3 linked regions of the Canis lupus familiaris genome follow. The protein of the gene in region 1 interacts with the protein of each later gene in a pairwise test. Links are inferred from orthologs where the notes say so. Each region holds a gene or a part of one and is shown in the gene's direction. Other genes may lie near its edges.

The links.
Region 2: the proteins of ABHD16A (region 1) and RNF5 interact in binary tests that used the Homo sapiens proteins (3 or more experiments, as listed by UniProt). The link is inferred for Canis lupus familiaris from reciprocal best matches to the Homo sapiens genes ABHD16A and RNF5.
Region 3: the proteins of ABHD16A (region 1) and DTX2 interact in binary tests that used the Homo sapiens proteins (3 or more experiments, as listed by UniProt). The two-hybrid records come from large-scale screens. The link is inferred for Canis lupus familiaris from reciprocal best matches to the Homo sapiens genes ABHD16A and DTX2.

What each region holds. Positions count from the first base shown.
Region 1 is NC_049233.1:1,311,745-1,315,879, reverse strand, and holds part of ABHD16A (phosphatidylserine lipase ABHD16A), read left to right. Parts: intron 1-997; coding exon 998-1,071; intron 1,072-1,250; coding exon 1,251-1,412; intron 1,413-4,135. UniProt on the Homo sapiens protein: Phosphatidylserine (PS) lipase that mediates the hydrolysis of phosphatidylserine to generate lysophosphatidylserine (LPS). LPS constitutes a class of signaling lipids that regulates immunological and neurological processes.
Region 2 is NC_049233.1:1,702,691-1,707,522, forward strand, and holds RNF5 (E3 ubiquitin-protein ligase RNF5), read left to right. Parts: upstream 1-1,764; 5' UTR 1,765-1,929; coding exon 1,930-2,069; intron 2,070-2,950; coding exon 2,951-2,969; intron 2,970-3,064; coding exon 3,065-3,177; intron 3,178-3,293; coding exon 3,294-3,348; intron 3,349-3,425; coding exon 3,426-3,543; intron 3,544-3,652; coding exon 3,653-3,750; 3' UTR 3,751-4,219; downstream 4,220-4,832. UniProt on the Homo sapiens protein: Membrane-bound E3 ubiquitin-protein ligase that mediates ubiquitination of target proteins. May function together with E2 ubiquitin-conjugating enzymes UBE2D1/UBCH5A and UBE2D2/UBC4.
Region 3 is NC_049227.1:7,519,250-7,523,923, forward strand, and holds the start of DTX2 (probable E3 ubiquitin-protein ligase DTX2), read left to right. Parts: upstream 1-1,606; 5' UTR 1,607-2,086; intron 2,087-2,228; exon of another isoform or gene 2,229-2,347; intron 2,348-3,276; exon of another isoform or gene 3,277-3,441; intron 3,442-4,674. UniProt on the Homo sapiens protein: Regulator of Notch signaling, a signaling pathway involved in cell-cell communications that regulates a broad spectrum of cell-fate determinations.

The sequences.
Region 1 (4,135 bases):
CAGGGAGCCTCATGAGGGACTAAGTCCCCTACCGGGCAGGGCAGGGGTATCCTACCGAAGGCAGCCGCAGCCGCTCAACCACTGAGCCCCCCAGGGACCCCCCCTCTGAGGCATTTTGCATATGCCCTTCCCAGTCTTCACAACAATTGCATGAGGTGGTATTATTGTACCTCTGAGGAAACAGACAAAGGAAGATTAAGTGAGGAACAGAGCAAAGGAAGTGGCTGGGTCTGGATCTGAGTCAGGGTCTGAGCAGAAGCTGCCTGAAATGTGCTTTTCTTCATTTTGTCTTGTTTTGCCATTTACATTTTTGTACAGTGTTTCTATTGTTCTCTCTTAGTCAAGTTATTTTTGAAAATGTCAAAAAATTTCTGTGACGGAAAATAAAAAACAGTTCTCAAGATAGAGTGCCAGGTGCTTCGAGGGTGAGGGAGGGAGTACAGCAGAGAAGACACAGCTCCCGCCACCCTCACAAAGCATGTGGATGGGCTCGGTGGGGTGACTGGAGGCATAGATGGTCTGGCTGCAGAAGTTGAGGGAAGGAAGGTGGCCATAAGGATGGAACAGTGAGAGAGGGCCTCATTCAAGAGGTGGGCCCAATGCGAAGGAGCCACTGTAGGCATGACTTCCCTCCATCCATCTCACTCAGCCCTCCAGGACAGCATTGTATCAGGGACCCAGTAGGGGAGGGGGGCATGAACAGCCAACAGACCCCCACTTCCTCCCTCAGAAGCACCAGTACCTACAGCCATCCCTTTTGGGAGTGGGTCAGTTTTATATTTTGGGAAAGCAAGGAGTGTTCTGGAAGCAGCTGGATAGCTGATAAAGGCATCCTCTCTTGGCTGATTTTTTCTTCACTCTGAGAAGGGAGTATGGGGGTGTTGACCTCTCCTTGTCTCCCCATGACGTGTGGGGGCCAGTCCCATGGCTGATTAGGGTGGGTAGGTGGCCTGCCCCAACTTTTCAGTTCCTCTTTACCTCTCCTTGCCCACCACAGAGGCAGCTCGCCAACTACAACTTTGACTTTAAGAGCTGGCCGGTCGACTTCCACTGGAAAGAGCCCAGCAGCCGGTGAGGTCCCAGTTCTCTCATTCCATCCCTGCTCTGTCCTGTCCCCATCTTGGGCCCCAGGGGCTGCTCTCCAGCACCATCTCCTTGTTCCTAGACAGCATCCTCCCCCCTCTCCTGCAGACCTCCGCTGTTCAGCTTGCTGCTCCTGACTGTCCTCCCCTGCATCTTTCCATCCTCAGGAAGGAGTCTCGAGGGGGCCCTTCTTACCAAGGTGTGGCCCTGCTCCGCCCAGAGCCCCTGCACCGGGGGACAGCAGACACCCTCCTCAACCGGGTCAAGAAGCTGCCTTGTCAGATCACCAGGTGGGAAGCAACAGGGAAGAGAGGCCAGCTGGGATGGAGGTGATTCGGAGTGAGGATTCCAGGACAGGGTGCTCCCTTGCAAGATAGGGCCTTGTGCTGCGTAGTTTGTATTATTTGTGGTAGTTTTTTTTTCTTTCCAAAGATTTTATTTATTTATTCATGAGAGACATAGAGGCAGAGGGAGGAGTAGGCTCCCTGTAGGGAGCCTGATATGGACACTTGAACCCAGGACCCCAGGATCACGACCTGAGCCAAAGGCAGATGCTCAACCACTGAGCTACCCAGGTGCTCATATTTGTGGTTTTTAATCTAGATTTATAGGTGAAGAAAAGAGGCCCAGAGAGCTCCAGAGTCTCATAGACAGTGAATGAAAGACTGGGATGTTCACACAATTCTATCTGACACAAAAGTTCTTTCATGTTACTACTCTTTTTGTTTTTGTTTTTTTTAATTTATTTATTAAGCAAGCTCTGCACGAAACATAGGCCTTGAGCTCACGGCCCCAAGAGCAGGAGTCACATCTTCTACAAACTGGGCCAGCCAGGTCCCCACAGAAGCTCTGTTAACCAGGCTGGGAGGGAAGAATGAGGTTGGAGGTGTGGTGGAGACACATAGCCTTAGCTGGAGCAGGGTCTGGTGGCAGCTATCCCTGTCTTGGCCCCTCTGCTCCTAGGCTATCCTACCTTAGCGACCTGCAATCTCTGTGTCCATGATTAACCCACTTCATAGGATTGGCGAGATTAAGTGTAGTAACATCTTCACAAAGCCTTCTACCTTGCCTGGGTGCCTGAGAGCATATGGCAAAGCCCAAGTAAATCATAGTTGTGGACACGGATGGTGTTGGAAGTAGCAGCAGTAATCATCCATATCTTACCGTGGTGCAGATGTCGTGGGAATTTTCTGTTGCTGTGGCCTGGGACGCAGTTTCTGGAATACCGAAGAAAGGGGAGGGCTTAGTGGTCGGTGTCTACAGTATGCTGATTGGTCAGAGGGGCAAGCCAGATTTGCAGTTTTGAGAGGATGCTGAATGGGGTAGTACAGTGTTTTTCTGTGAACAAATCCTACTTCAAGATTAACTGGAAATGGTCTTTCAGGAACAGCACCTACCACAGCTTATCTGTCTAGATTAGTGCATTGGTTCAGTAAATATTTATTAAGCCCCTACTCTGCATTAGGCTCTAGCCACCAGCTACATGGCAGATAAAAGGCATATTGCAGTGAACAGAACAGCCAGGTCTCTGCTTGGTGGAGTGTGCAATCTAGTTTGGTGTCTTTCAAACTGTGGATCTTGGGGCACCTGGGTGGCTCAGTTGGTTGAGTGTCCAACTCTTTTTTTTTTTTTTTTTTTTTTTTTTTTTTTTTTTTAATTAATTTTTTTTTATTTATTTATGATAGTCACACACACAGAGAGAGAGAGAGAGAGAGAGGCAGAGACACAGGCAGAGGGAGAAGCAGGCTCCATGCACCGGGAGCCCGACGTGGGATTCGATCCCGGGTCTCCAGGATCACGCCCTGGGCCAAAGGCAGGCGCCAAACCGCTGCGCCACGCAGGGATCCCTCTTTTTTTTTTTTTAAGATTTTATTTATTTATTCATGATAGAGAGAGAGGCAGAAACACAGGCAGATGGAGAAGCAGGCCCAAAGTCGGACTCGATCCCGGGTCTCCAGGATCACGCCCTGGGCCAAAGGCAGGTGCTGAACCGCTGAGCCACCCAGGGATCCCCAAGTGTCCAACTCTTGACCTCGGCTCAGGTCACGATCTCAGGGTCATGGGATGGGCCCCACCTTGGGGTCTGTGCTCACGAGGAGTCTGCTTCACTATGCCTCTGTCTCTTCCCCAGTTCATGCACACACACACATTCTCTCTCTCTCTCAATCTCTCTGCCCCCCTTCCTCCCCCTCTTGCTCTCTCTCTCCTCCCCTCCACTTTCCCTCTCTCAAATCTCAAAACAGAAAGCAAATTATGGATCTTGACCCACTCATGAATCTTGAAATCAATTGAATAAATTATAGCTGTTGTTTATTTAAGTATTATTTACTTGGGGACTTTTAATAAGTTGCATTTGTTTAAGATTTATTTATTTATTTGAAAGAAAAAGATTTATTTATTTATTTGAGAGAGAGAGTGAATGAGCAGGTGCTCATGCGGGTACACCAGGGAAAGGTCTGGGGGAGGAACAGGGAGGAGAGAGAATCTTTTTTTTTTTTTTTTTAAGATTTTATTTATTCATGAGAGACACAGAAAGAGAAAGGCAGAGACCCAGGCAGAGGGAGAAGGAGAAGCAGGCTCCCTGTGGGGAGCCCCACGTGGAACTCAATCCCCGGACCCCAGGATCACACCTTGAGCCGAAGGCAGATGCTTAACCTCTGAGCCACCCAGGCATCCTGAGGAGAGAGAATCTTAAGCAGACTCCATGCTGAGCCTGCAGCCCCATGCAGGGATCCCAGGACTGGAGCTGAAACCAACAGTTCAGACGCTTAACTGACTGTGCTCCCGAGGTGTCCCTAAGTTGTATTTATACATTAAGAGAATCATAGTTAATAACTTTGCTTTTACTTTTACGTAGAAAATATTATTTCCTGAAATTTTCAGTATTATATGTACAAATGCGTGTACTGGGCCACAGTATAAAATGTGCATCTTAGAAAGGCTGTAGTAAAAAAAAAAAGTTGGGAAAACACCAGTCTGGTTCATACAGCATTTTGTTAAATCTTCTAAAAAGAAAACAAAAATGTGAAGGTCAAGGGTGCATCAGGCCCCA
Region 2 (4,832 bases), about 390 kb from region 1:
CGGCTCCCTGCTTCAACCCTCTCTCTGGTCTTTAAAGAGAAGAGGTACTCTCGGGCCCTGTCCCTGCCCCTGTCCTTCCACGGTCTTTATTTAACTTCAGTACTTTCGCTTTTCAATTTCCTTCCTGTCAGTCTCAATCACTGAAGCTGAGACAGTGCCTCTCCCCAACATAGAATCTGGGCGGGCGCATCTTTTCCAGTAGAAACTGGGTATTAGGGTTGCTTTAAAAAAAAATGAGAAAGAAACAAAAAAAAAAAAAAAAAAAGAGAGAGAGAGAGAGAGAGAGAGAGAAAGAACGCTAGATTACTCTGGGACGAGCATGCCTCCTGAATTTTGTAGGCATGTATCTGTTCCCTGTCCAGCCTCTGACCTCCTCTCGCTCGTCTTTCCACTGTCCCTTAAACCAGGACCATTGCGTTGCTCCTCTCCTTGGTCTACACCCCTTCCCCTAGAACTTTTCTCCTAAGCCTTTCCCGGCATCCTGTACCTTCACTTCCCCCGCCCTCCTCTCACCTGGCCTCCCTGGTCACGTGAGACCTTTATCTGGGTGCTGACCTGCCCTCGGCCCGAGTCTGTCCCCGCTGCCAGACACACATTCGCCCTGCTAGAATTTACACGCCCTGAGGTCGAGGATGTAAGGAACACTGGTATGGGAGGACTGTTACCTAGTTCTGCTCCTTGGGCCACAGTGAGGTCACTGACTGTAGAGAAGGCCCAAGCTCGGGCCTGCCCAAGTCCCGGGGGTCCTACCCAGGAGGAAGACCCCACTTCTGCGGGACACACTACAGGACGGAAGGGGCGGGCCTAACCCCATTCCGCCGCGGGTCGCTCAGGAGGGCGGGCCTTGCCCCCTCGGCACCTACTCACGAAGGGGTGGAGCTAGTTCGCTTTTCAGGTTTAAAACGGGGCCGGGGTCAACTCTGTCATCCTGTGTCAACGTTAGAAAGGTGTGGGCCTTGAGATCTGTTCTGCAAGTCACCTAAGGAGGAGCGGGCTGCGTCCCGCAGCCGAGGGAGATGGGTTAACACCAGCGCCGCAGGTCGATGCTCGCACCACCCACACGTCGAGCTGATGCCAGTTCTGCTCCCTTCTTCACTGAAAGGGAGGGGCGAGCCCCAGTTCTGCCCTCTACGTCACCGAAGGAGGCCGGAGCCATTTTGAGCCCTGCGACCATAGCATTTGCTACCTCGCCGAGCTCTCGGCCGTCTTTTCCGATCTCGGCCAATCAGGGCTGCAAGAAACTAGCCAATCAGCCCGGAGAGACCGCAGTCGGAGGGCCCGGATGAGGCGGCGCTGATGCCTTTGAACCCCAAAGCCCGCCAATCGTAGAGCAGTCACCACGGCGACAAGAGCGCGGCGAGGGGGTGGGGCCAGAGAAAGCCGAGCACTCTCGGCCTGGCCCGCCCCTTCCCGCCGCCTGCTGCGCGCGCGCACTTTGCCGAACCACCATCTTCCGTCGAGTTCCAGCCAATCCAGAGCTTCGGAGCTCTACGCTCCAAAGTCCAATAGGAATCCGGACGTTCTCGGAAAGGGGAAGTGAAGCAAAGAAAGGGCTCGGAGGAGGCGGGGCCTGTGTGGTCCCGGACCAATTGCTTCTGGCCCTTGGCCCTGACTGGCAGCTACTCAGACGAATCAAGCTCCCCGACCAGGTCCAACGGACACCAATTCTGTCGCATGGCGTCCTGACGGAGACGCGCCCGCCAATCGTCGCTGGCAAGGGCAGGCCTGCGCAGACCTCTCCCTACCCTTTGGGCCAATCCTGGCTTTTAAACTGTGTGATTGTCAGCCACCCAGACCAGTAGTGTTTAGACAACCTCGAAGCCCGCCCAACGGTCGTGGGCTGGAGGCGGTTTCTCGCTGTTGGGGCGTGTGTGTGTCTGTGTGTGTGTTTGGGGAGACCGAGGGGTACGTGAAGGCGAAACACCGGCCATGGCAGCCGCGGAGGAGGAGGACGGGGGCCCCGAAGGGCCAAACCGCGAGCGGGGCGGGGCGGGCGCGACCTTCGAATGTAATATATGCTTGGAGACTGCTCGGGAGGCTGTGGTCAGCGTGTGTGGCCACCTGTACTGGTGAGGGTCCGGCCGGGGCTGAAGAGAAATGGGGCTCGCCCCTTACTGGGGAGGCTGGGGGCGGGATGGCACGCATACGGATAGTCGGCGGGCACATCCCCGTGGGCGAGGCCCGAGGTCTCTGGGAATGTGTGGGTGAGAGGGTCACATCTCCACGGAGGAGAGCCGTGTGGCGGAGAGCCCTAGGAACTGGGCGCTGAGGGGTGTGCTGTGGTTAAGAGGCAGCAGGGCGGGGTGGTGGTGGGGGAACTACATCTGTCCAGGTGAGACCCCAGCCGCCTTACCCCGGAAAGTGACGGTCTTAGTTGTACAGGTGGAGATAGATTAGACTCCAAGGTTAGAGGAGGCACGCCTTAGTCGGGTACGGGAGACCGAGGGAATGTAGGATCGCATGCAGATGAGATCTTGGTAGGGAGTGGTATGACAGACCTGAGGACCAGGGCACTGAGAAATGAAAGGATGGTGGAAATAGGGACTTGATGGAGCCTAGAAGAGAGGAAAAGGAGTAGTGGGGGCAGGTGCTAGTAAAGGGGGTTTGGTTGAGGAGTGATGCGGGCAGGGCTGGGGTTGGGGCTGAAACAGGAGATCTAGAAAGCTCTGGTTGAAGAGACCTGGACACTAAGTTCAGAGGCAGAAAAGGGAGGGGACATGTGTGTTCAAGGAGAGAAGAGCGTTGAACCTCGGAGGATGAATATTACTTTAGACGTTGTAAGATCAGAGAGGTGGGAAGGCCAAATTGGCTGGCATGGAATAGGTTGTCAAAAACATGAAAAGAAACAGCAGGTAATACCTGGGAAGAGGGGTGCGATCGGACTCTGAGGTCAGGTTCGTGTCTGTCTTTACTGTAGCTAGTTTGACCTTCTTTTTTTCCCCCCATCTAGTTGGCCCTGTCTTCATCAGGTGCGTACTCAGAGGAGATGAAGAGGGAAATGGGGAGGTCTGAGGAGTTGAAAAACCCTACTGTGAACTGGAAACCACTTCATTTTCTCCCTCAGTGGTTGGAGACCCGGCCAGAGCGGCAAGAGTGCCCAGTGTGTAAAGCTGGGATCAGCAGAGAAAAGGTTGTCCCTCTTTATGGGCGAGGGAGCCAGAAGCCCCAGGATCCCAGGTGAGAGAGAGGGGGTGGTGCTGAGGGAAGATGGACTGCTTCTGGCCTGGGAGTGGGGCGTGGAGGGGGAGAGGACATTCCTTGCTGCTAGCCCTAGCCAGTCTCTCATTCCTCAGATTGAAAACTCCACCCCGCCCCCAGGGCCAGCGACCAGCTTCAGAGAGCAGAGGGGTGAGTCTTGTCTGATTTGTGTTCCTTCCTTGCCAAAGACCTGCCCAGTTCTCCTCTGACTTTCTCCACCTCCCTAGGGATTCCAGTCATTTGGTGATACCGGGGGCTTTCACTTCTCATTTGGTGTTGGTGCTTTTCCCTTTGGCTTTTTCACCACCGTCTTCAACACCCATGAGCCATTCCGTCGGGGTACAGGTAAGAAGAGCCTTCCCTCAGCTCCAAGCAGGGAGCCCTCTGAGTCCCCTCAGGCCTTTTCCCAACCTAGGAGTGGATGCTTCTCCCACAGCTTTCCTTTCTCCTACAGGTGTGGATCTGGGACAGGGTCACCCGGCCTCCAGCTGGCAGGACTCCCTCTTCCTGTTTCTCGCCATCTTCTTCTTTTTCTGGCTGCTCAGTATTTGAGCTTTGTCTCCTTCCTGCCCACCTCCAGCCAGAGGAGAATCAGTATTGGGGGTCCTTGCTGACCCTTCCTTACTCCTGGCCCCTCCCTCCCAACCCCTCCGTTTCTACTGGCTAAGGCCAACCCTGGCCACTTTGTAGGAGGGTGTGGGGAGGAGGTGTGACATCTGTGCAGAGGATGGGAGAAACTTCTGCCCTGAACTCGCTGCGTAGCATCCTAACTCCCAGCTCTGGGACAGGAGGACAGACGGAAGAGGATGTCTGTTTCTTCCCTCTCCTGATCTTTTGCTTTCCCCCACATTTGTTGATTTGATGTTGAAAGATGGGCAAGGCTCCCACTGACTCTCCCCTACTTTACCCCTGTTGACTTAATTTTTCTCTCCCCAGTGTCTAATATGGGTTCTGATTCTTAAGTCCTTCCTTCCCTTCACTACCTCCTTTATTATAAATTCAATAAACAAGGTGAGATGTACTGATGGGAGCTCTGCCCACCTTTGTCCTTACCCCCTTCCTTCCAGGACAGGAGCATCTCCCCAACTTGAGTAAATATTTGCACGGTGTGGGGAAGTGTGAAGGCTTTCTTCAAGGCTCTGAGGGATTCAGAGGGTGAGGGCGTCTCTCTCTCTCTCTCTCTCTCACAAACACACACACACAAACACACACAGAGGCATCTTTCTCACACACACACACACAGGCGTCTCTCACACACACACGTGTCTCACACACAGTCATCTCATACACGTGTCTCACACAGGTGTCACACACAGGCATCTCTTTCTCAAACACAGGTGTCTCTCACACACAGGTCTCACACACAGTCATCTCTTACACACAGGTGTCTCTCACAGTCATCTCTCACAGGTGTGTCACACAGGCGTCTCACACAGTCTCACACACACAGGCATCTCACACATGCAGGTGTCTCACACACACACAGGTGTCTCTGTCACACACACACACACACACACACACATCCATATGTGTGCACGAGAACAAATGGGTGAGGTGTTTACTTATCACTGTAGGAGGCTCTGGTTGTGGAGGCAAGTTTGGTGAGGTGGGGTACAGGTGATACAGGAGAGAAT
Region 3 (4,674 bases), on another chromosome or scaffold:
GCCTACTTTTTAAAAAATGAGGATGATGCTAGTACCTACCTCATTGAGGGGATTTCCTGTGAGGTGATGCATGACAAGTGCTTGGCACATACTAGGTGCTTTAGAAATGTTGTAGGTGGTTTTGGCTGAGAACATTGAGATTCTAGGAAGGGAAATGTCCCCATCCTAAGCTGTAGCCAATACAGTTACCTAGTATAAATCACAGGTAGAAAGTCACTCCCTCATTTCTGGAAAGAGGACTGGCATTATTGGGAGAACCCGACTTTAGTGCTTCCCCAGGCTCAACGCCTATATCCTCCAAGTCAGGTCCTGGATCACAGAGTCGAGTCCTAAACTAGGGTCCCAGAAGTGGGCCTGCCACAGGCACTCCTTCCTCTGCTTCATTGACTTTGGGTGGATTAGTCTCCCCTCTGAGCCTCAGCTCCCTTTTCTATAAAATAAAGTTTTCAACTGAATGATGGGGGCGGGGTGTGGAGAGGTATCTTTTCCTTAAATCCCTGATGAAGTATGAGTGACATTAGATTATGTAAAGATACTCAACTAGAGGCCAAGATTCAGAGACCTCTTAACCCCCTGGAACTGTGTGCAAGATTGTATATGTGACATGTATGTACACGTGTGTGAACATTTCTATCTGAGCATGTTTTAGGAATAGATCTATTTATCTTTGTGAAGGAGGTCTGTGATCCCAGAAGAGTAGTCACCGACCTAGTTCAGACCTTTTTTTTTTTAAAAAAAAGATTTTATTTATTTATTCATGAGAGACAGAGAGAGGCAGAGGGAGAAGCAGGCTCCCTATGGGGAGCCTGATGGGGAATTTGATCTCAGGACACACACCCCCTCCCCCCACCCCCGCCATCACAACCTGAGCCAAAGGCAGATGCTTAACCACTGAGACACCCAGGTGCCCCTGGTTCAGACCTTCTATCTGAACTATAGATATAGTTCAGACTATATCAAGATCTGATATATATGGGCAGCCCCGGTGGCGCAGCGGTTTAGTGCTGCCTGCAGCTCAGGCAGGGCATGATCCTGGAGACCCTGGATCGAGTCCCACGTCAGGCTCTCTGCATGGAGCCTGCTTCTCCCTCTGCCTGTGTCTCTGCCTCTCCCTCTATGAATAAGTAAAATCTTTTTTAAAAAAAAGATTATATATATATATATATATGACTATAGCAAGAGCCTCCAAACTGGTCTCCCTACTCCTTTGTTCCTTAAACGTGTCCTCCACCTATCACACAGGGTATCATTCCTTTGTTTGAATCTTTCTTTTGGCCTTAGTGGCAAAAAGAAATGCATAGTATTTAAAGACATTCATAATCTTACCCAGCCTGGTCCCCACACTCATATCCTGACACACCCTAATCTATTTCCTCTGTCCTCAGCCCCTCTGTGTACCCTCCTGCCCTGGCTACAGGGAACGTTTCACTGCTTCCTGAATGCATCAAGCACTTTCACATCTCTCTTCCTTTGCAGGAGCTTCCCTGTACTTCATCTGGCAAACCCTCGTGTGTGCTTCAAAATCCAACTCAGGCGTCCCACCCCTTTGTGATGTCTCCCTGACACCTCCTCCAAATGAACCACACCCTCTGTGCTCCAACTCCTGTGCTTAAAGTCACATTTATCCCACTGTACTGTAATTATGTGTTTGAGTGTCTGTCTGCCCAAGCAGATATGAACTTCTCCCAGCAGAGAAACCAAGTTTCTGACTCACGTTTGGAGCCTCAGGACCCAGCACGGGGCATGGCACCACATGTGTACGGGTAATGACTATCTAAAATGAGTCAGTAAGTTAATGAAGGAGTAAGTCAGTGAGTGAACAGACCAAGAAGGAAGAATAGATACACCTGAACCGGTGCGCGTGGGATTGGGTCCCGCCCCGCCCCCAACACATGGAACTACATTTCCCAGAAGACCCCGCGACCTGGGCATGCGCACTGGAGAGCTAGGAAGCTGCGACGCCGAGTTTCACTCTGGCTGCCTCCTCAGAGTCGGAGCTTCAGCCGGAGCGGTGCCCAGGCCGGCCCGAGCTGCAGCCCCAGCGCGGCGGTGCCCTCACCCGGCCCCCTCGTCTTCCTCAGCCTCGGTGAGAGGGGCGGGCGGGCCACCTGCCCGTCGCCAGGGCTGGGGTCCCGGGGACGCGGGGGGGACTGAGCCGAACTGGGACCGGAAGGGGGCGGGCGTGGGACTGAGGGAGGGCCGGGCCGGGCCGGGGAAGAGCCCCGTGGTGAGGTCCGGGGGGACTGGGAGGACCCGCCGCGGGGCTGGCCCGGGGCCGCGGCCGCCGGAGGCGGGAGCTGGGAGAATCGGGCGCGCTGGCAGCTTTGGGACGGGTCTGGGTGCGAGGGTGAGCGCCGGGTGGGAGCCGAAGGGCTGGCAGGGGGAGGGGCGCAGACCCCGGGAGTTCGGGGCCGTGGCGAGGAGGACACCCCTTCCCACAGGGGCGGGCGGAGGCGCTGGAGATCCCGTCACTGGGCTCCGGGGCTCGCGGGGTCGATTCTCCTGGGTTCTGGCTTCGGGCGGACGACTTGCTGCAGCCCGGGGCTGTACTTTTTGAAAGAGTTTGCCCCCAAACTCTGCTTCCCTGCCTCAGGTAGGGGTCGCCCTCCGGGAAACTCCGGTTTCCTGGGGGCCCTGGGTTCCTTTTGAGGGTTGCGTAATGTACGTCGGAGAGGATTTAGACGACTTTTTTTTTATTTTTCTGAACCTGCCCTGTCGCCCACTCCGCTCCCCTCCCCTCCAACCAGCTGCTCCCTTCCACACTGGTTCCACTTCCCTAAGTGCCAGTAACAGTGGAAATAGTGTGTGCACGCACAGGCTCCCGGACCGTTAAGAATTAATTCAAGAATACTTCTGCCTGCTATCCTCTAGAGTTCTAGAAGGTCGACGTTGTGGTAGCCAAAATCGGGCTTTACCCTCACGGTAACTATAACTGGGCCTCTTACTCATTTGCTGCGTGACCTTGGCCAAACTTTTACCTTCTCTGGTGTGTTAATCTCCTGGATTCTTACACTGCAGACTGACTTAGGAAGCCCATTTAGGCCTTTCCGTGAAAGAGCTGAGGTGTGTGTGTGTGTGTGTTTCCACCATCCCCTTGATTATTGAGTGGGTAGAGGGAGACTGTTGTACCTTCTGTCCTGCCCAGGCTGTTGAAAAATAAATCTGGTGGTTTCCAGTCCCCGGCCGCAGCGCACAGACCCAACATCTGTGCATTCGTTTTCACTGACTGCTGTTTCTCAATTTAAAACCTGATCATCTTTTTCCTTGTTGGCAAAGGTGCCCTGGAATTTGTGTTGCTGAGTCAGCAAGGCTTTCCGATTTGCTCGGTTTTTGTTGTTTGCATTTTATATCAAGATGGGAACTCAAACAAGTCATTCCTCCTAAGGATCTAGTGTCTCTGTCAAGAAGGGACAGTTTGTGCCAGCTCTCCAGAGAGAAAAGGTAAGAGTGACAGGGACTTCACATTGCTGCCTTCTGGATCTGGTTTTCAGTAGAGGAGGTGGAGACTGGGGAGGGTGAAATTTGAGGTCTCCCGGATGAAAGTCAGCCTTGGGAGTTGATTGTTGATTGCCAACTGTCTCAAATAAAGTCAAGTGCTTTCTTGCCAAGGGCTTCTTCTGTTAAACCAGGCTTAGAGGATGCTTTACACATGGTTTTCACTTAAGACATGCTTTATGGGGTGAAGGACACAAGTCATGATTTCTGCATCTGAGCTGGAAATTTTATTTCTTTTGTTGCCCGCACAAAACTGGGTGCCTTCTTTGTGTCAAGCCCCATGCTCAATGGTGGGGCACAGTGATGAGTGAGAAGAGCTCTGTCACCTGGGAGCTCATCATTTGGTGGAATGGACTGTCCGTTCCTAGACAGACCCTAGACAGTGGCAAGGAGTTGTTGGTGTGCTATGTGTTGAGGTGGGAGGAATCACAGGGCAGAGCCCCAGCCCCTCGACCAGGGGCTGTCCAGGAAGGGATAGGAGGGAAGGGTCAGCAAGCTTCTAGAAGAACATAATTGAGCTGAGTTGTGAAGGACTTGAAAAGGAGAGCAGAAGCCTGGCAGAGGAGTGGGCATCTGCAGAGTCCAGAAGTTACCTGGTACGCATGGGCCAATGTAAGTAGCTCTATGTGGCTAGAGCAACAGGGATGGGTGTGAGGTGGAGGAGGCTGGTTAGGTAGGCAGAGGGAAAGTGTGGATGGTTTTGTGGGCCGCACTAAGGCTCTGGGAAGCAGGATTTTAGCAGAATTCCATGAGGGCATTTTACATGAGCACACTGGCTAGAAAGTATGAATGGATTAGACTGGATTATTCTCTTTGTGACTGTTTCTTTACACCATGCCAGCTTTTGATAGAGGAAGAGTTAGACATAGATGTTGCCCTCAGTTTCTTCATAGTCTCCTTGAAGAGATAGAATGGACATAGAGAACTGTAAAGGGCAGGCAAGTGCTGTGGAAGTTGAGAAGAGGGTGTTTTCTTTCAGTTGGGCATCTCGAGGCATCATGGAAGTACGTTTAAATTGGGTCTTGAAAGGAAGTCTGAGTGGCCCAGTCTGTTGAGCATCTGCCTTTGACTCAGATCATGATCCCGGGGTCCCAGGATTGCTTACTGGGGAGTCTGCTTCTCTCCCCCTCACCCATGCTTGTGCGTACTCTCTTGCTCAGTCTTTCTTTCAAATAAATA